Rattus norvegicus: one gene and its partners. The protein of the gene in region 2 purifies or fractionates together with the protein of the main gene of each other region. This does not show direct contact. Links are inferred from orthologs where the notes say so. Each region holds a gene or a part of one and is shown on either strand. Other genes may lie near its edges. The genes, in order: Utrn, Tns2 and Dtnb.

Evidence for each region.
Region 1: the proteins of Tns2 (region 2) and Utrn purify together in Homo sapiens (affinity purification with mass spectrometry; 4 studies listed by BioGRID and IntAct, with this or other methods). This does not show direct contact. The link is inferred for Rattus norvegicus from reciprocal best matches to the Homo sapiens genes TNS2 and UTRN.
Region 3: the proteins of Tns2 (region 2) and Dtnb purify together in Homo sapiens (affinity purification with mass spectrometry; 3 studies listed by BioGRID and IntAct, with this or other methods). This does not show direct contact. The link is inferred for Rattus norvegicus from reciprocal best matches to the Homo sapiens genes TNS2 and DTNB.

The regions. Positions count from the first base shown.
Region 1 is NC_086019.1:9,040,539-9,047,301, reverse strand, and holds the start of Utrn (utrophin), read left to right. Parts: upstream 1-2,814; 5' UTR 2,815-2,913; intron 2,914-2,987; exon of another isoform or gene 2,988-3,115; intron 3,116-3,371; exon of another isoform or gene 3,372-3,588; intron 3,589-6,763.
Region 2 is NC_086025.1:135,113,709-135,120,371, reverse strand, and holds part of Tns2 (tensin-2), read right to left. Parts: intron 6,111-6,663; coding exon 6,002-6,110; intron 5,577-6,001; coding exon 5,539-5,576; intron 4,680-5,538; coding exon 4,641-4,679; intron 4,338-4,640; coding exon 4,299-4,337; intron 4,136-4,298; coding exon 4,086-4,135; intron 3,870-4,085; coding exon 3,698-3,869; intron 3,409-3,697; coding exon 3,358-3,408; intron 3,063-3,357; coding exon 2,940-3,062; intron 2,854-2,939; coding exon 2,789-2,853; intron 2,395-2,788; exon of another isoform or gene 2,264-2,394; intron 1,690-2,263; coding exon 1,606-1,689; intron 1,217-1,605; coding exon 1,104-1,216; intron 1,025-1,103; coding exon 964-1,024; intron 809-963; coding exon 733-808; intron 201-732; coding exon 71-200; intron 1-70. UniProt on the Homo sapiens protein: Tyrosine-protein phosphatase which regulates cell motility, proliferation and muscle-response to insulin. Phosphatase activity is mediated by binding to phosphatidylinositol-3,4,5-triphosphate (PtdIns(3,4,5)P3) via the SH2 domain.
Region 3 is NC_086024.1:32,283,603-32,290,365, reverse strand, and holds the start of Dtnb (dystrobrevin beta), read right to left. Parts: upstream 3,885-6,763; 5' UTR 3,615-3,884; exon of another isoform or gene 3,600-3,614; intron 1-3,599.

The DNA of each region.
Region 1 (6,763 bases), on a different chromosome or scaffold from region 2:
CTCACCTAAATGAATCCTACATTCTTCTAGGGCGAGATCTATGTTGGCTTTCTATGTATCGTTGGCCACAGCAAGCCTCGTACCGATGCTGGCTAATGGGAGGAGTGGAAGTGGACGAGAAAGTCAATCAGTTCCTACTAGGTGATTAGATTCTCTTCGGCTTGTATGGAGAGCATCCTCCAAGGTGAAGTTAAGTCAGACTTTATAAAGAAGTCTCTTCTGTCTCAGCCCTCAGTACTCGAGACCCCAGAGGTTTTCAACTGGTGATTAACACGAGGCTAGTGAATTATTTTCACTGGCTCATAAATTAACCCTCCAGGATTAAGGAAGCACATATAACACAGATTTCATTTAGTCCAAGATAGGTCTTGGCTAACCCTGTAAACTTGCAACAAGTTTTGCAAACAGATGTAAGTTTGCTTGAAAAAAAAAAAGAAAATAAATAAATAAATAAAGAAAGAAAGAAAGAAAGAAAAAGAAAGAAAGAAAGGAAGGAAGGAAGAAAGAGAGAAAGAAGAGAAGGAAGGAAGGAAGGTTTGGCAGATGGTGCCACTGGTAAGGCCCCTGATGAATATTAAAGTCTGAAGATTTGAGTCTGAACCCTGGATTCCTCATAAAGGTGTAAAGTGAGTGAGAACTGTCTCGACAAAGTTGTCCTCTGACTTCATGTGTGCACTGTCACCAGCACCCCAACACCATACATCATGTACACACACACACACACACTCCTACACACACACTCATACACACACATTCATACACTCTCTCACACACATTCACTCTCACACACACATTCACACACTCATACACACACTCATACACACACTCATACACACACTCATATACACACTCACTCATATACACACACACACATTCACACACACACTCATACACACACATTCACATTCTCACACACTCATACACACACTCGTATACACACTCATATACACACTCACATACACTCATACATACACTCATACATACACATTCACACTCACACACACATTCACTCTCTCTCACACACACTCATACACACACACTCACACACTCATACACACACACTCATACAAACGCATTCACACACTCTCACACATACACTCATACACACACACTCGTATACACACTCACTCATATACACACTCACATACACATTCATACATACACTCATACACACACATTCACACTCACACAAACATTCACTCTCACACACATTCACTCTCTCTCACACACATTCACTCTCTCACACACACACTCATACACACACTCATACACACACACTCATACAAACACATTCACACACACTCTCACACACACTCTAACACACACACTCATATACACACTCACTCATATACACACTCACACACTCACACCCATGCACTCACACCCACACACTCATGCACACACACTCACACACTCTCACACACATTCACACACTCTCACACACACATTCACACACTCTCACACATATATTCACACTCTCTCAGACACACATACATTCATACACTCATACCCATGCACTCACACTCACACCCACACACTCATGCACACACATACTCACACACTCATATACACACTAACACACACTCACACCCACGCACTCACATGCACTCACACTCACTCACACCCACACACTCACACCCACACACTCATGCACAGAGAGAGAGAGAGAGAGAGAGAGAGAGAGAGAGAGAGAGAGAAATTTAAAGGTTAGCACCGACGTTATTTGTGTATATGCACATATAAGGACACTTGGGGTTGTTTAAACAGCATTTAAAAAAGATGCTAAGAAAATTGTATAAAATAAATATACCCTTGGATTTAGAACCGCAAACTCAACAACCTCAGTAAACAGAAATGGGATGAGTTGGCCAGCAGGTCGAGATTTATTTAAAATAAAAACTAAAAGAAAAAAAAAAAAAAGCACTCGGTTAACAGACACCTAGTGTGCCTAGGGGGGCGTGACACCCATTTTCGGACAATTTGAATAAAAGGCACGGTGCGTGCGCATGGTGCCTACTCCAGCTTCTGCCTTCCAGCATGCACGACTGGTTCCGGGATTCCCGCACCGCGCACCGCACGGAGCGGGCGGCTGCGGCTGGGAGGGCGCTTAGGGCTAGTGCTGATTGACCGGGCGCGCGGTCAGGTGACCCGAGGCGCCACGTTCCGGGAGCCCGGCTCCCAGTGGCTTCCCAGGCCCGGGCAGGGCCGAACCCGGAGCCTAGGGGGACAGGTCTCTCCCGGAGAACAAAGTTGCTGGGCCGGGGCCCCGAGCCCGGGGCGCGCGAGCGGCTAGGCGTCTGATCCGACCCGTGGGATCCACGGCTCCGAGGCTGGGCGGTCCGTGCTGAGAGAAGCGAGCTCCTTCCCGGGTGGCGGGCCGACCCAGCAGCGCCCCACCCTCGCTCTCCAACAAAGGGGCAGGCGGCGGCCGGGGGAGGACCAGGAGGAGGAGCCGGAGCAGCGAGCAGCTCTCGCGCACAAAGTTGTGGAGTCGTCCTTCCCCGGAGGAGGGGAGCGGGCAGCGCCGGGCGCGGGATTTCTCCCGCCCAGGGCCGAGGAGGAACCTTGGGCTCCCTCAGCGGATCCGGCGACCTCCGGGAGAGGCGTCCCTTTTCTTTGGGGTCATTCCTGTAGAGGGAAAACTCCAGCGTGCGCCTGCCCCCCGGGCTAGCGTTTGGACTGTTTTGTTTTTGGCGGAACTACCGGGCAGGAAGATTGCACAAGTCAGGGGGCGTTTCCAATCGGGTGTCAATTTTGGATCCCCCCACCCCCTTTGGATTTTGTCGGGCTTTCCACGTTTCATTAAAAAAAAAAAAAAAAGGAAAACCAAAATTCTCCTAAGGTCCAACGCAAGCTCCCCACTACCCGAACACGCCCAGAGGAACCCTGGGGCCTCTGGGACTTGGTTAGCAGGTAAGCCCATGCATTATTGAAGCTTCGGGCTGGGTAATGTGACCGCAGTCCCGGAGGGAACGGGGCGGGGGCTGAAAGGAAAGGAGGTGGGTCCTTTCTGCAGTTCCACCGCCTGGGTCCCGAAGTAGCTGTTGCCAACTTCTGCACTTTCCCTGGAAGCTCTGCGTCTTCTGACTGGGCGGGAGAGAGCTGGGATGAGAAGGTGGGAATCTGTACTGGTCGCCAAGGTCTCAAATTCCTAGGTCTAGTTTAGCGCTGTTGTCTTGTCCCTCCCTTGAGAGGAGAGGGTGCTGTCGCCTGTCTGTTTATCGCCCCAAGCAGGGCAGCAGGACTAGCGATCTTCAAGAGGGGACGTGGCCTCTTTGGAGAGCTTGTCACACACCTCCGGTTCCCGGGAAGGCGGGGCCCGGGCGGTGTCCCGGAGGAGAGGGTGGGGAGGGCGGCTGTATAGTGGGAGGGTTGGGGAGCGCTTTCTAGCCGGCCTCCAGGCTGGGGGCGTGCTCGACCTCTCGGTAGTTGCCGTTCCTCAGGGTGGGGCCCCAGTGTGGCGAGGTGGCCAGCTCCCTGCCTGCAGCTCTGGAGAGACTGAGGGGTTAGGGATATCTCATTGGTGCGCAGTCCCGCGCGGCTGCCTGCTTTTCCGGACTCTTGGCATCCCTCACTGCAACTGACAAGGTAATTCTTGCCCCTCTTTGGCCTGGGTCTGAGGCTTTGCTTGCCCAAGGCCACTTTAAAAGCCAACAAAGAGCTAATTGTAAGCTGTGCAACTTTTAGAAGGCACTTTGTTCAAAGAGACTTTTCAAGTCCCTAGATTCCGACCGTGCGGCGTTCCAGGGTTATTTCAAGGGGAGGAGAAAACGTGTGTTACTCTTCAGAGTCAGGGACCCGCCTTTTTTAAACCCCCAAATTGGAGATCCTGGGTGTAATTCCGGGCTCCACTCTTTGGAGTCACTGAGGTAGCATCCTTTATTCGTCTTGCCTTCAGATACCTGGGTCACCAGTATCTGGAGAGGTAGGCTCTCCATGCATTTGAGTGGGAGGGTTTGCCGCGGCCAGAGCGCACGAATTCCGGAAGAGATAGGATCTCCAGGGTGGCGCGGTAGCAGCCTCATCTATTCCGTTGGAACTTGCCCTGGGCCTCTGAAGTCAGGCTGGACCCGCGGGGGCTGGCTGCTGCTGGGCGCTGGGGACGCAGCCTGCAGATTACACTGGTGCCTGCCTGTAAGAACTGGAGGAATTTGAAGCTCGTGGGTCGTTCAGTCCCGAAGACAAGGCAGTGAGGGGCATAGGCCATTCCCGCTGAAGCGCCCCGCCCCCCACCAGCATTTATGAGACCTTCGAGATAGCTCTTTAACCAAAAATTTATTGCGCCCGTAAACAGCATTAATCACAGTGGCATTAACCTTTCCTGGAGCGCTTCTAGTGTGAATGAATGGCAGTTCTTGGCACTCAGCGGTCTCCTTTACAAGCAGAATGGCAAACTTGTTCCTCGGCTTCCCTCTCCAGCATTCCTAGCTTTTGACCACTTGTGAGTGACTAGTGTTTGCAGGACTTAGCTTTTCTTCACAGCTGCTTGATTGAATATTCCTTTATGATGACACCTTTTGAATGTTGCAGATTCTTGAACTTTTGCCTATAAAGCCACCAACCCTGGCGTTCTGTTTTGATATGACAGAGAAGCATCCACCCTGAAGAGCCTGTGCTGTGGTGCGCGTCAGTTTCTGTGGGGAAACTGAATGGCATCGGCTGTTATTTTTGAGAGGAGAGCAATTATGTATAGGGCTCCTGTCCAACCTCTGGGTCATTCACCTCTAGTTTCTCCCTTACCCCCGTGTGGAATGTGGCTCCTTCCATTCCACGGGCGTGGGTGGAAGTGGAGTCTCTTTGGGACACATCGTTACTAAGAAAATTTTGATTCTGTCCCCATGTAACTCTACCAGCAGTTACAGAGTTACAGTTGCCATAGCGTTTTATTTATGTTATTTTGAGAAAGGGTTTCGGGTTGGGGATTTAGCTCAGTGGTAGAGCGCTTGCCTAGCAAACGCAAGGCCCTGGGTTCGGTCCCCAGCTCAGAGAGAGAGAGAGAGAGAGAGAGAGAGAGAGGGAGAGAGAGAGAGGGAGAGAGAGAGAGAGAGAGAGAGAGAGAGGGAGAGAGAGAGAGAGAGAGAGAGAGAGGGTTTCACTATGTGGCTTAGGCTGGCTTTGAACTGGCACTCCTCTTGCTTCAGCCTCCGAAGTAGCTGGGGTTATAGGTGTGCACCACCACACCTGGTTTGCATCTGGAAGTTTGGAAGGAGGTAACCTTTAACTTTCCAACTCAACATGGAGCTCCTGGAACATTCGCGGCCACAAGAGTTGGTGGCTGGTAAATGTTTTAAAGGACCTTCTCTTAATGTGTTCGTCCTCATTCTTTTCCAGTTTATTGATTTTTTTTTTTTTTGGTCCTGCTATGTTTTTGCAGTGTAGTAGGAATTTGCATTATCAAGAAGAGAAGATTGGAAAAAATTATCCCAAGGAGAATGACAGAATCAAACATTATGATGAAGAAGCATTATTGGTCCTATGCAAATGAAACCTGTGTACAAGAGTTAACTTTCTCTCAAAATGAAATTGGCGGCATTGTGTGTGTGTGTGTGTGTGTGTGTGTGTATGTGTGAGCATGTGTGCCTTTTTAAAATATGGCTCTGTGGTTAAGAGAGAGTTCAGGTTCATTTTCTTATGTCCATTTCTGGCATCCTTGGGCACCAGGTATACACACGAGGTAGACATTCACATATAAATTGAAAAAAAATGCATTTTTAGATATTTATTTATTTATCGAGTGTGTGGTGATCAGGCTTAGCGGCAGGTCCCTTCCTAATAGAGAGGACACGTCTTTGAGGAGCCTAACTGTGGAGGTCCCTGGATAAAACCAGATGTGAAGTAGCACAATAGACCTGTCTTTCAAAGGGACCTCATTCCAGAAAAGAGACTTTTTCTTAGGCAACTGGATTCCCCATAATAGAATGTTTACATAATCTGTGGATAAGATTTTGGTTCTCTAATATATTAAAGATACACATAAAAGTTTAGCAAATCTTTTACACTTTCAAGATAGGAATATATTAGCTTTTGATTGTATTCTTTGTGGGGAGGTGTTCCCCATCCCCCAAGCCTCATGTAGCCCAGGCTGGCCTCAAACTCTCTGTACAGTAGAAGGTAGCTTTAAACTCTGGCTTCTCCAGCTGGAGTCACTGGTCCACTCCTGGTGGAAGCTGCTAGGCAAATGGCCAGGCTGCCAGGCTTCTTGCCTGGTTACTTTTGACTTTAATTTCATTTTTGTAGTTCTGGGGAGCAAACCTAGAACCATGCCTACCCTAGGAAAGCAGAGAATCACATCTTCAGCCCTTTGGTTTATTTTTAATTTTTAAGACGACTAGTTTGGGATTTATTCTGTAGCTCAGGCTAGCCTAGGATTTTGAGAACCGTCTTTTCTCTGTCTCTTAAGTACTGGGACTACAGCTGTGAGTCACTATACTCAGGTCTGTGTATAGTCATAATAAACATTTAAGAAGTTTTTTTTAATGTCCTATAAAGTCTGGGAGGCTGATGAGCCCATCCATCTATTGAGAGGAAATGGTTCTTAAAGCTTTAACAATTTACCAGTGTTCCTTTCCTTCAACCGTTTTTGACTCTCATTTTGCTCTTATTAATGGACTCCTCTCACTTCCTGAGTTGCAGAAAAAGAAAGTTACTATGCGGTATAATGTTCATATTTATATAATAAAGAAGTGCTGTATGCTACAGTGATTGGATACTGAATAATAGAACATGCATCGTGATACAAATGTGAAATTTAAAATAACGGTAT
Region 2 (6,663 bases):
AGGTGAGGAGCCATGCCTCGCTGGCTTTCCTTACCCTACCCAACTGCCACTTCCTTGGCCTCTGACTCACCAGCCCAGGCCTCATCTAGCTGGTCCTTGGGGAAGTTGAGCCGTGGCCCATGGATGGTACACGTGTGGAACTGAACTCGGAACACAAGGGTCCGGTCTGTCCCCTGACCACCCTTGTGGTAGCAGGTCACCTGAAGGAGGGCAGGGGGCTGGGGTCAGGCCGTCATTTCCGATTTGCCTTACCTACACTTTTACCCCAAGGGCCACCTAGTCACTGGCCACCGCTTCTGTTGTGCCCCAGCCTCAACATGAACTCTCCTGGGATAGCAGGGGTGGGGTTTTCTTTTGGGCCTCTGCTCTGGCTTACAGGTTGTGATGGTGTGTATATGCTTGGCCCAGGGAGTGGCACTATTTGGAGGTGTGGCCTTGTTGGAGTAGGTGTGTCACTGTGGGTGTGGGCTTTAAGACCCTACTCCTAGCTGCCTGGAAGGGAGTCTTCCACTAGCAACCTTCAGATGATCCCGCCTTGATGATGATGGACTGAACCTCTGAACCTGTAAGCCCAGTCACAATTAAATGTTGATTTTATAAGAGTTGCCTTGGTCATGGTGTCTGGTCACAGCAGTAAAACCCTAACTCAGACACAGGCCTTGCCAGTTGCCTACATGACTAGAAGCCTCCCACCCCGTTGCAATCCCCACTCAGTATTACAAGCCCCCTCACCATGACGTCGCCTTTGAGGAGAAGGGCTGGCTCCAGGCTGATGCAAATCTGGCGGGGCCCTGGACCTGTGATGTGGCTTTGGGTAGAGACAAGGCAGAAGTCAGAGGCACAAAGGCAGAAGGGAGGGCATAAAGCTAGACACTGTCAGCCTCTCCGACTGGAACCAGAAGGTTGGGCCTGGAAAGACTGGGCAAGCAAGCTGATGTCAGGGCCTGGGAGCAGGGCACTCACTAGACTCCAGATGTGTAGACCAGCTGCATAGACTGGTAGATCTTGAGGAAGGGTTGGAAGCCTGGAGGGGTGGAAGAAGCCATGAGGGGTGTGGGGTAGGAGGTGGCTATCCCCATGGGATACAGCCCGGGGGGACTCACCTGTGTTGGGCTCAAAGGCTGGCAGCACGGGTACAAACACATAGTGCAGGAAGAGAGGGCTGCTGTTCATTCTGATGGAGCCTGACAGCAGCCCGCTGAAATAGCCGACATAGCTGGCGAGGGGGTGGAGGGTGGGGAGTGCCAAGAAAACATCAGTGTCTTCCTCTAGAGGGCGCCTCACACCAACCTGGCAGCTCTTGAGAGACCTAGAAGGCTCTTCTAAACTTCAAGGAGGCAAGCCCTGCGCATCCTGTGGAGTCTTACAAGCCTCTGCTTTATTCCTGTCACAGACCTTACTGTCAGCCAGAACGATCTAGTCTGTTTACGCATGGCTTCTTGCCTTCTACTCTACTAGCATATAAATACCACGGGAGCCTGACCTTGTTTGTTCTGACTTCCCAGAACTTGGCACAGGGCCTGGCTCACTGGGCTCCCGTACACTGTGGGATTCAGGTGTGCTACCTGAGAGGGAGAGTCAGCCCTTCCCCACTGGGGTGCTCACCGGTGCTGGGAGGGCTGCAGTTCCATGGCCGCCTTGTCCTCACAGAATTTCCTCATGGTGAGGGTTGCCAGCGCTTGGTCTGCCCTGGGGAGAGCAGGGGAGGTCGGGGGTTAAGGACCGGTCCCATTCCTGCCTTCCATTCTTTTTTTTTTTTTTTTAAGTTTTTAAAAAAAGTTTAAATTGCCTTATCTTGTATTCCCATGAATCACTTGAACAATTACAAACTAAGCGCATATATATACATATATATATGTGTGTGTATGTATATATATATATATATATATATATATATATATATATGTATATATCACTTTTATGCTATTGCTTGTCACTCATACACTTCTAGGAAGATCGCCTGCCTTCCATTCTTTTTTTTTTTCCGGAGCTGGGGACCGAACCCAGGGCCTTGTGCTTGCTAGGCAAGTGCTCTACCACTGAGCTAAATCCCCAACCCCCTGCCTTCCATTCTTAAACCCCAGGAAAGGAGGAACCTCTCTGTACAGAGGAACTCCCAGTGGTGGTGAAGAGAGCTAGAGACCCTCCAGCATAGCCCAGTTGTTGGGCCTTGGGCAACTGAACCTGGCTTTCCTCACTTTTAAAAGGAGGCAGTTAGACAACCTGATGGGTTGAACTGTATCCCTCCCCCAGAGAAATGTACCTCAAATGTGACCTTATTTAGAAATAGGGTCTTTGCGGATGTGGTTAGATAGGTTAAGATGAGATCATACAGGAGCAAGGTGGGTCCTTAATTAGGGTGATTGATCCTTAGAAGAGGAGAGACAGAAACAGGCGCGCAAAGAGAACACCACGTGATGACGGAAGCAGGGGGTGGAGGGATGCCGCTGCCAGCCAAGAACTGCCAAGGACTGTCAGGCACCACCAGAAGCTGGAAAGAGGCAAGGAAGGAGTCCGCCTAGAGTCCCAGAGAGAGAGCGTGGCCCCACTGACACTGACTTTGGACTTTTACTATCTCAGAACAGTAAGACAACTGAGCTATATTATTTTAAGCTAGTCTATGGCACTTAGCTGGTGGCCCTAAGAAACTAGCCCAGTTCCTCTGCTGTGGTGTGCTGGGCCCACAGCTGGAGATAGACAGTACCGTACCAAGTGTATAGTCTGACTAAGGAGAAAAAAGCTCAGACAGGGCCGGACGAGGAGGGGTCACTGAAGCAGGGCAACTCACCCTGCAGAGATCTTGCTATAGTGCATATAGGCAGAGACGATGACTCCAAGCTTGCCTTTGCTACCCTAAGAGATAAAGAGATGGAGATGGGGAACCTGCAACTTTTAGGCTGAGGTTGTCCTAGCTCTGTTACCCCAAGGTCCTGGCTCACCTTGCAGTATAACACGACCACATGCTGAGGGTCGGCACTGAGCCACGTCTCCATGGCTTTGCAGATGGAACACAACTTGTCCAGAGGTGGGGCATGTAATTCCGGCCAGCCAAAGTCATGTACCTGGGGAAGTACAAGTACAAGTGTGTGTGTGTGTGTGTGTGTGTGTGTGTGTGTGTGTGTGTAACAAAGGGAGGAAGATGTGAATACAATACAGGGACCTGGGGGCAAGGCGCAAACTTAGTAGTTGTCCACAGTAGCTTGGACACTTTTTTCCGCCATACTGTGGGCTGATAACCCCAGCACCTCGTTTTTAGTTATCTTAAGTAGTGTGAGAAAAGTGGATGTCAACAAGGAGGCAGAGCCTTTTCACAAGGTTGGCTCGGAATAAACGGCAAACAGACCATTTCCCTCCTACCTTGGGGTTCAGGCGGGTCAAGTCATGCCGTTTCTCTGAAAGGTTGAAGAGCTGAAATAAAGGGCAGAGTTAGATGACGGTGACTTGAGATGCAGGTGCTGGAGGTGAACCCTCATCGAGCATCTTGCTCTAAAAATAGTAAGATTGTAATCCGCTGGAGCTGAATTCTCTGCACCCTGCGGTGACTGGCTAACCTCCGGCCCCGCCCCGCCCCGCCCCTGCTCGCGAACACCGCCCCCTCTCCAGCCCCATCTCAGGTATTGATGGGGAAACAGTAGCCTCGCCCCATTTGAATCTCCCAGCCCTCTCATTGGTTGGATCTGGCCCACCCGCTTCTCACCAGGTACTTGTCTCGGTGCTTGGATTGAAGCACATGGGCCAGCTCTCGCAAGTGGCCTCGGTGTCGCTGCTCGTCTGGTCGTGCAGGAAAAGCTGCGGCCAGGATCCGCTCTGTTACATAGGTGAGGTCCAAGTCCCAGCGACGCTCCATGAGCGGATCCAGGCTGAAGCTCCTGGGAGAGGACGCAAAGCCGATTTAGAGAACAGAGAAGCGCGGCGGCCCAGGGGCTAAGGATCCTGGGGAGCTCTGGGCGACCTATTAGGTCCTTAGGGTGGGTGGCCCGGAGGGGGAGTACTGTCCTGGGGGCTTTATTGGCGGCCACTGCCATAAGCTGAGTAGCGGTCCAGTGGAAAGTGCCTACGTGGGATCACCGGGCGTCCTCACTCACCTGGGTAGAGTACTGCGTTGCTTTGAGTGGTTCAGAGACTTGGTGGACCCCTGGTGGATGAGAAACCGTATGCCGACAACTGTTTGGATGCATCGCTTCTAAGCTTCCGGGTCAAAAGTTCTACAAACCGTGGTCTTCTGCAAATGTAGGTCCCTACTCCAAGAGCTACCCACACGCCCGCCCCTTCCCGCTCAGGCTCCTAGCATCCCTTACCAGGTGTTCTATGCGCCGGACTGGGGCTGTGTTTCTCCGCTAGAGTGAGGAGGTGGGGGAGGAAATGGGAGTGGTTAGGGCAGGGGCAAGGACCAGTTTGGACCTGGGGGCGGGGTGGGAGCGCATGTCAGTGTCCACTCCCTGGGGACAGGACTCTAGTCCCCAACCAGCCCTAGAAGACAGTCACAACGAAGGGCTCCGACAGTCATCTGTTGAGGATAACTGACCAATAAACCACAGCATTCAGTACTACATAACCTGGAGACCCACTTTGAGACCACCAGACCCCGGGATATTAGTCAGGTTCCTTGCCTTCCCTGCCCCATCCTTGAGCACACTCACCAGCTCCGCGGGGGGCAAGGCCTGACAGGATGAAGTCACCTGGAAAGAGGTGGGAGTTTAAGGCTGAGCTGGTGAAACGGGGTGCTCAGCCTCAGGGAGGAAGATGCAGGGCCTGTCACCTGATGAGCACAAGCTCTAGCTGAGGTTCCTCTATTTAAGGGAGCCTTGTTTCTGCCTCTCGGTCTCCCACCCCTCAGGCCCCCTGCTTGTTGCTCTTGGCTCTCAGCCCCCTGCCCACACAGACCCCCATTCATCCAGCTGCAGGACAGGAGTTATATATAGAGCCAGCCAGCCAGGCAATGGCCAGGGGTGGACACTAGCCTCTTTCACCGTTGAGACCCCACCCATGGGGCACATAGCTCCCCCAAGCTAGCTTGAGGCCCTGGGACTATCCCCTGCACTGATGGAGGACCAGGAACGTTCCTCAGAGATGGGGGGCTGCCTCAGGGTCTCAGTGGACAGTGGGTACCACCTACAGGGTATACCCAAACAGGCTCAGCCATCACCACCCAGGATAAGACCAACTCAGGCATCCTGAGGACCCTTCCTCAGAGGGAAGGCACGGCCCATCCGGGTGCCTGGTCTCTGAAATCCTGCTCCCTCTCTATCCACCCCGCCCTTCCTCCCCCACAACTCACCCCCCCCCCCATCCTCTCGCCAGCTGCAGCCCGGGCACAGCACCAAGACAAACGCTGTCTCACTGTCCACCCTCCTGGGCCAACCCTCCAGGGGTGGAGTAGGGTGGTTCTTAAAGAGCCCAACACAACACCTCTGCCACCCAGGAAGGGGTCTCCAGGAGTGACAGGGGACTGGGTGGAAGACGATGCCAGTGTGGCTGAAGAAACCTGTTTGGGCAGGGAAAGACACCGTCCCCCATTAGCTAGGACTGGATACCCACCTTTGCTTCACATTTTCTGTGTGTGGCCACCTTGCAGACTAGAGAAAGGAAGGGGAGGATAGAGGTTAGCAGAGGCTATGGGAACAGTCAAAGTAGCTGTCCTCTAGTCCTCCAGGCCTTGGAAGCCAACCCTGGGACCCTAGTACACTGGGTCACTGGAGTCGAAGAACAGAGCTGGTTATCAGCAGGGAAGAGGGCCAGAGGTTGGCGTCTAAGATGAATAGAGGTGAGGAGGAAGAAGAGGAACAGGAGGAGGAGGAAGAGGAAGAGGAGGAGGAAGGGAAGCCCCTAGTCACAAAAGGATGGGAAGGTGGTCACAAATCTCCTGGGCGGTGGCAAGGTGGGTGTCAAGGGGACTGAGGGCATTTGTTTCTGAATTTGCCGGTCTCTAGAGCTAGAGTCACACAGCACAGAAGTGCTTACTGGAGGGCTCAACACCATAAGAACAGCAAGAGCCCCTCACCTCGGCACGAGACACCGGTCCCATCGATGGTCACCTTACACACTGCACACACTGGAGCCTTCTTCCGGAAAACCTTCTCCCGGAAGCTGTGCGGTTCTGCTTTCCTAGGCTGCGAGAGGGATGACAGACAAATAGGGTTATGAGTTCCTAGTGGGCCCATCTCCAAGGCTGGGCAGGGACCTTTCCTTAGAGCGACTGCATCCCTCTCTTCCAGCCAAAAGTCTCTGAACTCTAAGGCACACTTGGCCACAGCTGTTCCAGGGTAGTCATGAGGCCTGTCCTCTACAGGGCTTGGAATGTGACCCCTTGCGTCACCTTGGTTGGGTTAACTCCTCCCTGAGGGTTTACTCAGGCCTCCTCACGTGGAGGAGCTATGTGATGTCCTTGTCACCCCCACTTCAAATGCGAGGGCTTTCTGAGAATCTCGCTGAGTGAGGGGGTCTGACTCTCCTCTCCTCTTGCCCTCCCCACATGAGGCTCATATTCTGTGAGCTGACAGGCCGGCCCAGACACACAAGCGCTGTCCCATAACACCCAGACTGACTGCAGCCAGTCCTGAGCCCCTGACTCTCAAGGGCTCTAAGCTCCCGGCAGCTGATTCGGCCCCCTCCCCCACAGTCAGAACAACATGTTTACTCCTTGTGCATGGAGATGGCAGGCTG
Region 3 (6,763 bases), on a different chromosome or scaffold from region 2:
CGTGTAATAGGCAAAAAGGTGAGTACCGAAACAAGAAACTAAAAGACACTCAAAGCAGAATGAATCTGTAAGGCAAAATTTCAAAATGCATGGAGAGAAACCATGCTAAGAGCCAGTCAGGACAGCAGTAACTGAGTATTTACTTAGTGAGTAAATTCATAGACAGCAAGACAAAACTGATTTCACATATACATTCAGGGCGCTTGGATATAAATGTTAAAATTTATTGCCAATGCAAAATGGTAATCACTTTAGAAGCCTGCTTGGCAGTTTCCTATACAGCCAAACATATATTTGATCTGTCATATACAGCCAAACATATATTTGATCTGGCATATACAGCCAAACATATATTTGATCTGGCATATTCTGATCTACTGTTGTACTCATAACTTATCCAAGTGGGTTAAAAAAAAAACTTGTATCTACAAAATAACATGCACACAGAAGATTGCAACAGTTCTATTCAGAATTACCAAGACTTTTCACTGGATGAGTGAATAAACAAACTGGTATTTCCACTGACTGGAATATTATTTGTTACTAAAAGGAAATAAGTCATCAGTCCATAAGCAGGTATAAATGCATATTACCAAGTAAAAGAAACCAGAAATATAATTCATAGCGTGACATAAAGACATATTTATTTTCAATTTTTTCCTTTATTACCCTTGTTTGTATGGGTGTATGTGTGTGGGTACCCTCATGCTATAGCAGATGGAGGTCAGAGGCCAACCACAGGAATCAGTTCTTTCCTTCAACACAAGGGTTTTGGGAATTGAACTGAGACCATCAGGATTAGCAACAGGTGCCTTTACCTGCCGAGTCATATCACCAGCTTGAGAATTTTTTTCTGAGCATACACAGCCACTTAGAAAAGAAGTTTTCATATATTTATGACAAACATTACATTTTTGTTTTTAAGAAAAGTCTCAGACTAGAAGGTGTATTTGATTTCCATTCACTGCCAATAATAAGAGAGGCTTAAATATACTAAGTACAGTGCGCAACATACATTAAGAAATCACACAGTAAAGACTACGCAGGTCTTGTGTTCCAACATGAAAAAAAAAAGTCTACAGAGCAACCTAGACAGAATGCTATAGTAAAATGCAAAGAGAGCTGGAAATGACTCAGTGGATAACGCACTTGCCACGCAAATATACGAATTGGAGTTCAAATCTCTAGAACCCGCATACAAGCCAGGCAGGTATAGCAGCCACCTACAATGCCAGCGCTCTAGAGACAGACAGGAGTCATCAGAACGAGCTGACTGGCTAGACTAGCCAAATTGGCCAGCTCCAGGTTCAGGAGGAGGCTGAACTTAATAAATAAGTAAGAGAGCAACTGAGAACCTCCAGTGTCAACTCTGGGCTTTCACAGGCATATACAATGTATGGTACATGGATACCATATGCAGACTCCCCCATACCACATACACATGCAAAAAAAGTAAAATGCATAGAAAAAGGCCTGGGAAGAAAACAACAAACTGGTAACCGGAGTAGAAAAAGGAGTAGGTATGTCAAGGGAGTTTTATTTGGAGCAATTTACAAGCAAATATGCATTCTGAACTGCTCAAACTACTGCAACTCCAGGAGCTGCCAGCACAGAGAGACTCCAGTGCAAAAGACACCCTAGAACAGCAGCGTACCTCCAGCACATCTAGAAACCACAGCTCTAATGCTTATGTAATTTTAAGTTAATAAAATAGAGGGAGGGGTTGTCCCCAAGACAGCAGGAGTTAACTTTCTCATGATACAAAAGTATATATTTTGATTGGGATAGGTTACAAAGTACACATGTCTTTTCTTTTTTTGTTTGTTTTCTTGGGGGAGGGACTTTTGTTACTTTGTTTTGCTTTTTTTGTTGTTGTTGAAACAGTGTCTTCCTATGTAACCCTAGCTGGACTTGAAGTGATCAGCTTGCCTCTGCCTCCTAAGGACTTCAATCTAAAGACATATGCCACCATGCCCACCAATATGTACCATTTTTTCAAAATACCCAACTCAATATGCAAAGTCTATCCATTTTATCCTATGTAAACTACACATGAAGAAGGCACAGTAGTGCACACCTGTAATCCCAGGACACATAGATAGGAGAATAGACATAAGTTCAAAGTCAGAATGACAGAGAGAGACCCTATCTTTAACCCAAACAAACAAAAAGTTTGTTTTAACCAGCCATGGTGCTTCACAGGAAGGACTAACAGAAGGATAGCCACAGTTCAAAGTCAACTTACAGCCTGGGCTACTGTATTTCGAGTACCAATATAGCTGGGGTTACTACTCAGCAAGACCCTGCTTCAAAAACCGGGGGTAGAGGGTTTATTTTCAAATAAATGTAAATTAAATATCTAAATAAAATATTAGAAGTGCCCGAAACAAGACACCCAAATTTGCAAAGCCACATAGGCACCCCAAAACAAAACCTAAGAGAGACTTAATGGTTGTACCCTGAAATGCAAATACTAATTAAAATGAACTAAATGAATATACTTCAAGGCTTCTATATATCCAATGACAAATTTGGATTAATATTGCTCTTATTTTTTATATAAGGAGACTAAGGGTCAGATATGTTAACATCTGAAGACATGAAATAAAGGGTAACTGGAAATCCTGCGCACTCTAATATTTTAACTATATTCTGTCTCCCGGGCAAAATTCAGTGAAGCTAAAGACCCTGCCAGCACCACCTTGCCTGCACAACCCCTTCAGAGGCAGTTCCACTTAAGTCTGATAAAAATCCTCAGAGAACACATAAAAGGTCAAGTTTTAATTTGGCAAGCAAAGTAATCCAACAGGCATTGCAAGCCAGGGAAAGGAAGCAGCAGTATGGGGCTGGAGAGTCCAAGCAAGGCAGAGGACAGAACTCCAGCCCTTACAGACCTGAAGAGACTTAAGCATTCTCTCACCTCAGAACCAAGATCCAAGAGGCAGGATAGAAATTATAAAGTGTTCTCTAGGCAAAAGCTCCCTCCAGTCCTCCTCAAACGACAGAGGAGGGGGGAAAAGGCCAATGAGAGAAGGACCGGAACCTGACTTCAAGCAGCCACCCAAAGAACAAGCTTCTGGTGCACAACATACAAGAACCGCGTGGATGAAGAAGTGGCCACAAGCCACCGGAGTCTGCCACCTAAGCCACTGGTTTAGCGTCTAAAACCCTGGGTTACCTGAGAAGGCAAAAAGAGAATCCTAGGACCAAAGGAAGCCAGCGAGCATCCCTAACTCTACAGAGACTGACACTACTTCATATCAAATGTATCAAACCCTGGTCCCTCCATCCACTCCTGCAGTGGGCATCCATTGTAGGGCTTTCGGGATCCAGGCCACATCCTGAGGACTGGGCAGAAAACAGGCGCGGAGCTTAATTCTAGTTGGGAAGGCAAGATTCTCCTTCCAAATTTCTTTCCCCTCTCTTTTAAATGTCAGTAAGACCCTTCAAATCTCTTCCCAATAGCTCCCACCAGCTTTCCTCAAGTATCTTACTTTCTCCACAAGCCAAGCAACTTACGGCCCAGTTTCCCAGGGCTGGGAAAATCCTAAAGAGACCTGAAGTGAACAGAACAAGAAACATAAAATAGAGCACTTTACATTTTGTGTGTATACTTTCACAGCCGGACTGTCAGCACTTCAACAGCAAATAAATGATGGTTGAGAGTGATAAAGTCGTGACCCGGGCGCTGACCGCGGTTCTCTCCTGCTCCGTAGCTAATCAATAAACGCTTGCAGAGAATGCTAGAAAGGTCTCCCTGATTCCCCAAGGCCTGGCACAGGAATTTAACAGTAAGCATTCGTCAGCTGCATCCTCGCTCTTCTCGGGACACTGTGCCCATCAGAGGTGACCTGAGTAGACAGGTTCGTCTACCGGGAGCCTCGGGAGACACTGAGAGGTGATCTGGAATGAATTCCCTCCCCTCTGCCAGGGCCTGCCTACCTCACCTGCCCTCTGCCAGGACCTGCCGCCTTCGCCCCCTTCAGCACCTAACGCTGAGCCTCCTCCCCGCAAGTCCGGCTCAGGCTGCATCAGCAGCGCGCGCAGCCGGGTTCTGCGCTCCGCGGCCCCCCGCGCGCCCGGGTGACCGGAGAGCCCTCTCCGGCCCGGCGTGCGGTCTCCCAAGGGTCGCCGTTCCAGGGCCGCGCGCTCCGCCACCCCGCAGCCCTCCTTTTCGCTCCTCCAGCCCCGGCGGACTCCCCACCTGGCTCGCTTCCCGGCCGAAGCTGAGGGGCCGTCGCGTGGCTCTCCGGCGGCCGCAGCCTCCTCCGACCCGGCCCCCTCGGCAGAGGCAGCTGAAGCAGCGGCAGCGACTGAGGCGGCGGCGCCCACTCAGGCCCCGGAGCCGCCCCCGCGGCGAACGTTCCTGGCGCCGGCTCGCGCCGCTTCCCCGCCCGGCACGCGCAGCGAGCCCGCCCCCGGCGCGAGGGCGCGAGGGCGAGGGCGAGGGCGGGTGCGCGCGGAGGGCGGGCGCGCGGAGGGGCGGGGCTTCCGCCGCCAGAGGGGGCGGGGAGGCGGCCGAGTGCCCTCCCGCGGGTTTGCGCGCCCCCTCCGGGCCTCTGCTGTGCGCTGGCCGCGGAGGCGGAGGTGGAGGCGGAGGTGCGCTTCCACTCCACAGGTAGCTGCCGGGCGGCTGGGTGCTGCGCCGACGTGACTGAACCGTAAGGAATGCGAAGAAATACCCGGTGAATCATTCACCCGCGCCTCGAGCGCCGGGTCCTCCCCCGAGTGACTTTCCACATTGCCTCAGCAGGCTCGTTTGAGCACTAACTCATGCGCCTGGTGCCCGGTGGACACGATCTGGGTCACGGCCCTGGTCCCCAAGAGCGCATAACTTAGGGAGAAGAGCAGCCTTGCGAAGGACCGAGTCCGGTCCTCTGCGCAAAGGCAAGCCACAGCCGGATGCGGTGAGAGGATGAGGAGGGACAGATTACTTTCCGCTTAGTCGTTCAGTAGTTCCTGAAAGTGGGAGTATTTGGACATTAAACAGCTTGGACAAGGGAGCAGGGGCGACAAAGCTTCATTTATTTATGTATCTATATTTATTACCAACTCATCTATCCTTTTTTAAAGCATTTATGTTTTATTTTATGTGTATGAGTGTTTGGGCTGCAATGTTTGCACCCCGTGAGTGCCCCCGGAGGCCAGAAGAGTGTTTTGGATCCCCTGGAACTGTGAAGTGTGGATGGATGCTGGGGAATCAAACGCAGGTCCTCGGATAACATAGCAAGTGCTCTTTGCTGAGCCATCTCTCCAGCCCCTCATATTGCCATTTTTTTATAGAATCCTTCTTTAGGGACATCGAAGTCTTCTTTTAACGTCTCAAAAATCAAAAAATTTCCCCTCAACATTAAGACAACAGCAATATCCCTTAGGTTTTTGGTGTATGTGAACGTGCATGTGTGAATGGAAGCAGCTCCAGGCCTTTGTGCTTTAGGGAAGCTTTTTGAAGCTTTCTGGCACCTTCTGGAAAAGCAGATCGTGCCACCTGCTTCGATCACACTGTCGGGCTGCCTCTAGAACACCCTTTTCCTCCTCTTCTCACAATCTATTTTTAAATTCCTATGGTGAAGGCAGTCAGTGCTGTGTTGATAACTTTTTTTTTCTGAGGGGGAGGGAATACATTACTTTTTACACAGGAATCGTGTGGCTGCTTTGCATGTCGGAGGAGACTCACTGGTTGCTGGGTGGTGACTGCTCCAACCATGTAAGGATATTCCGACTATGTCAAGAGACATTTAGTTTCTTACCATGTATCGAGCTCCTGCTATGGGGAAGGCACTGATGGGTAAAAACATTGACTCTGGCAATGAGGTAGACTGTGAAACTGAAGCTATAGGAACCCAGTACGGGGCCTCAAACACCTGTAATTCCTAGCACTCAGAAGGCTGAGGCAGAAGGATCACTCTGGGTGTGAGGCCATGCTGCAGGATGAGCCAGTGTCAAGGTAAATCAATAAACACCTTATTTCTTCTATCTCACTGCCTCACGTCTTATCTCAAGTTTGAAGTGGGCTCTTACAAACTTCTCTAGAGCTCACTAATTTACACTTGTGTTAACAGCCTTTTATCTCTTGAAGCACTTCACATCCTCACAACAACTTTCAAACATGTTCGCCCATTTTCCGCCTCATATTTCAAGATTATCAGTGTCTTTCCTGGTTGTTTCCTAGTCGTCTTTAGCATTCTACAGTCTATAGTTCTATAGTTTTCCTAGTCATCTATAGCGTTCACCTTACTTATCCTAGGGAGGAAGATTCGGCTCCAGCTACCACTCCCTCTGTGTTCTCCATCCTAAACGCCCTTGAAAAGTCCCCCCCACACACACCTCTTCGGCAGCCTGTCCAGCCATGGCTGTGACTCTTGACCACATCAATGACTGATTTCATCCCAACCGCCATCATCCATTTTGGAGTCCTCATATTACTGGACCCTTCTGTGGCATTTGCTAGCACAAGTCCCTCAGCTTTGTGGCATGCCTCCACTCTAAAGCCTGTTGTTCACGAATCTGACTCAGTTCACCCCCCATGCACACACGCTTACATGCACGCAAATTCCCCCTAACCCCTTGTATCCACTCTTTGTCCCCATCTTTTTCCATATCTCTGGCTCCTAAATGGATTTTAGCTTATAAAAGTGCAAGCAAAGATGTTTCATCTTGAAGCTTTTCCATGGGGTGAGCTTGTTGTGCTACACTGCCTTATGCTCCCCGAGGGTCACCCACCCAGGAACTCTGAATTCATGAATGGAACACACATACACGC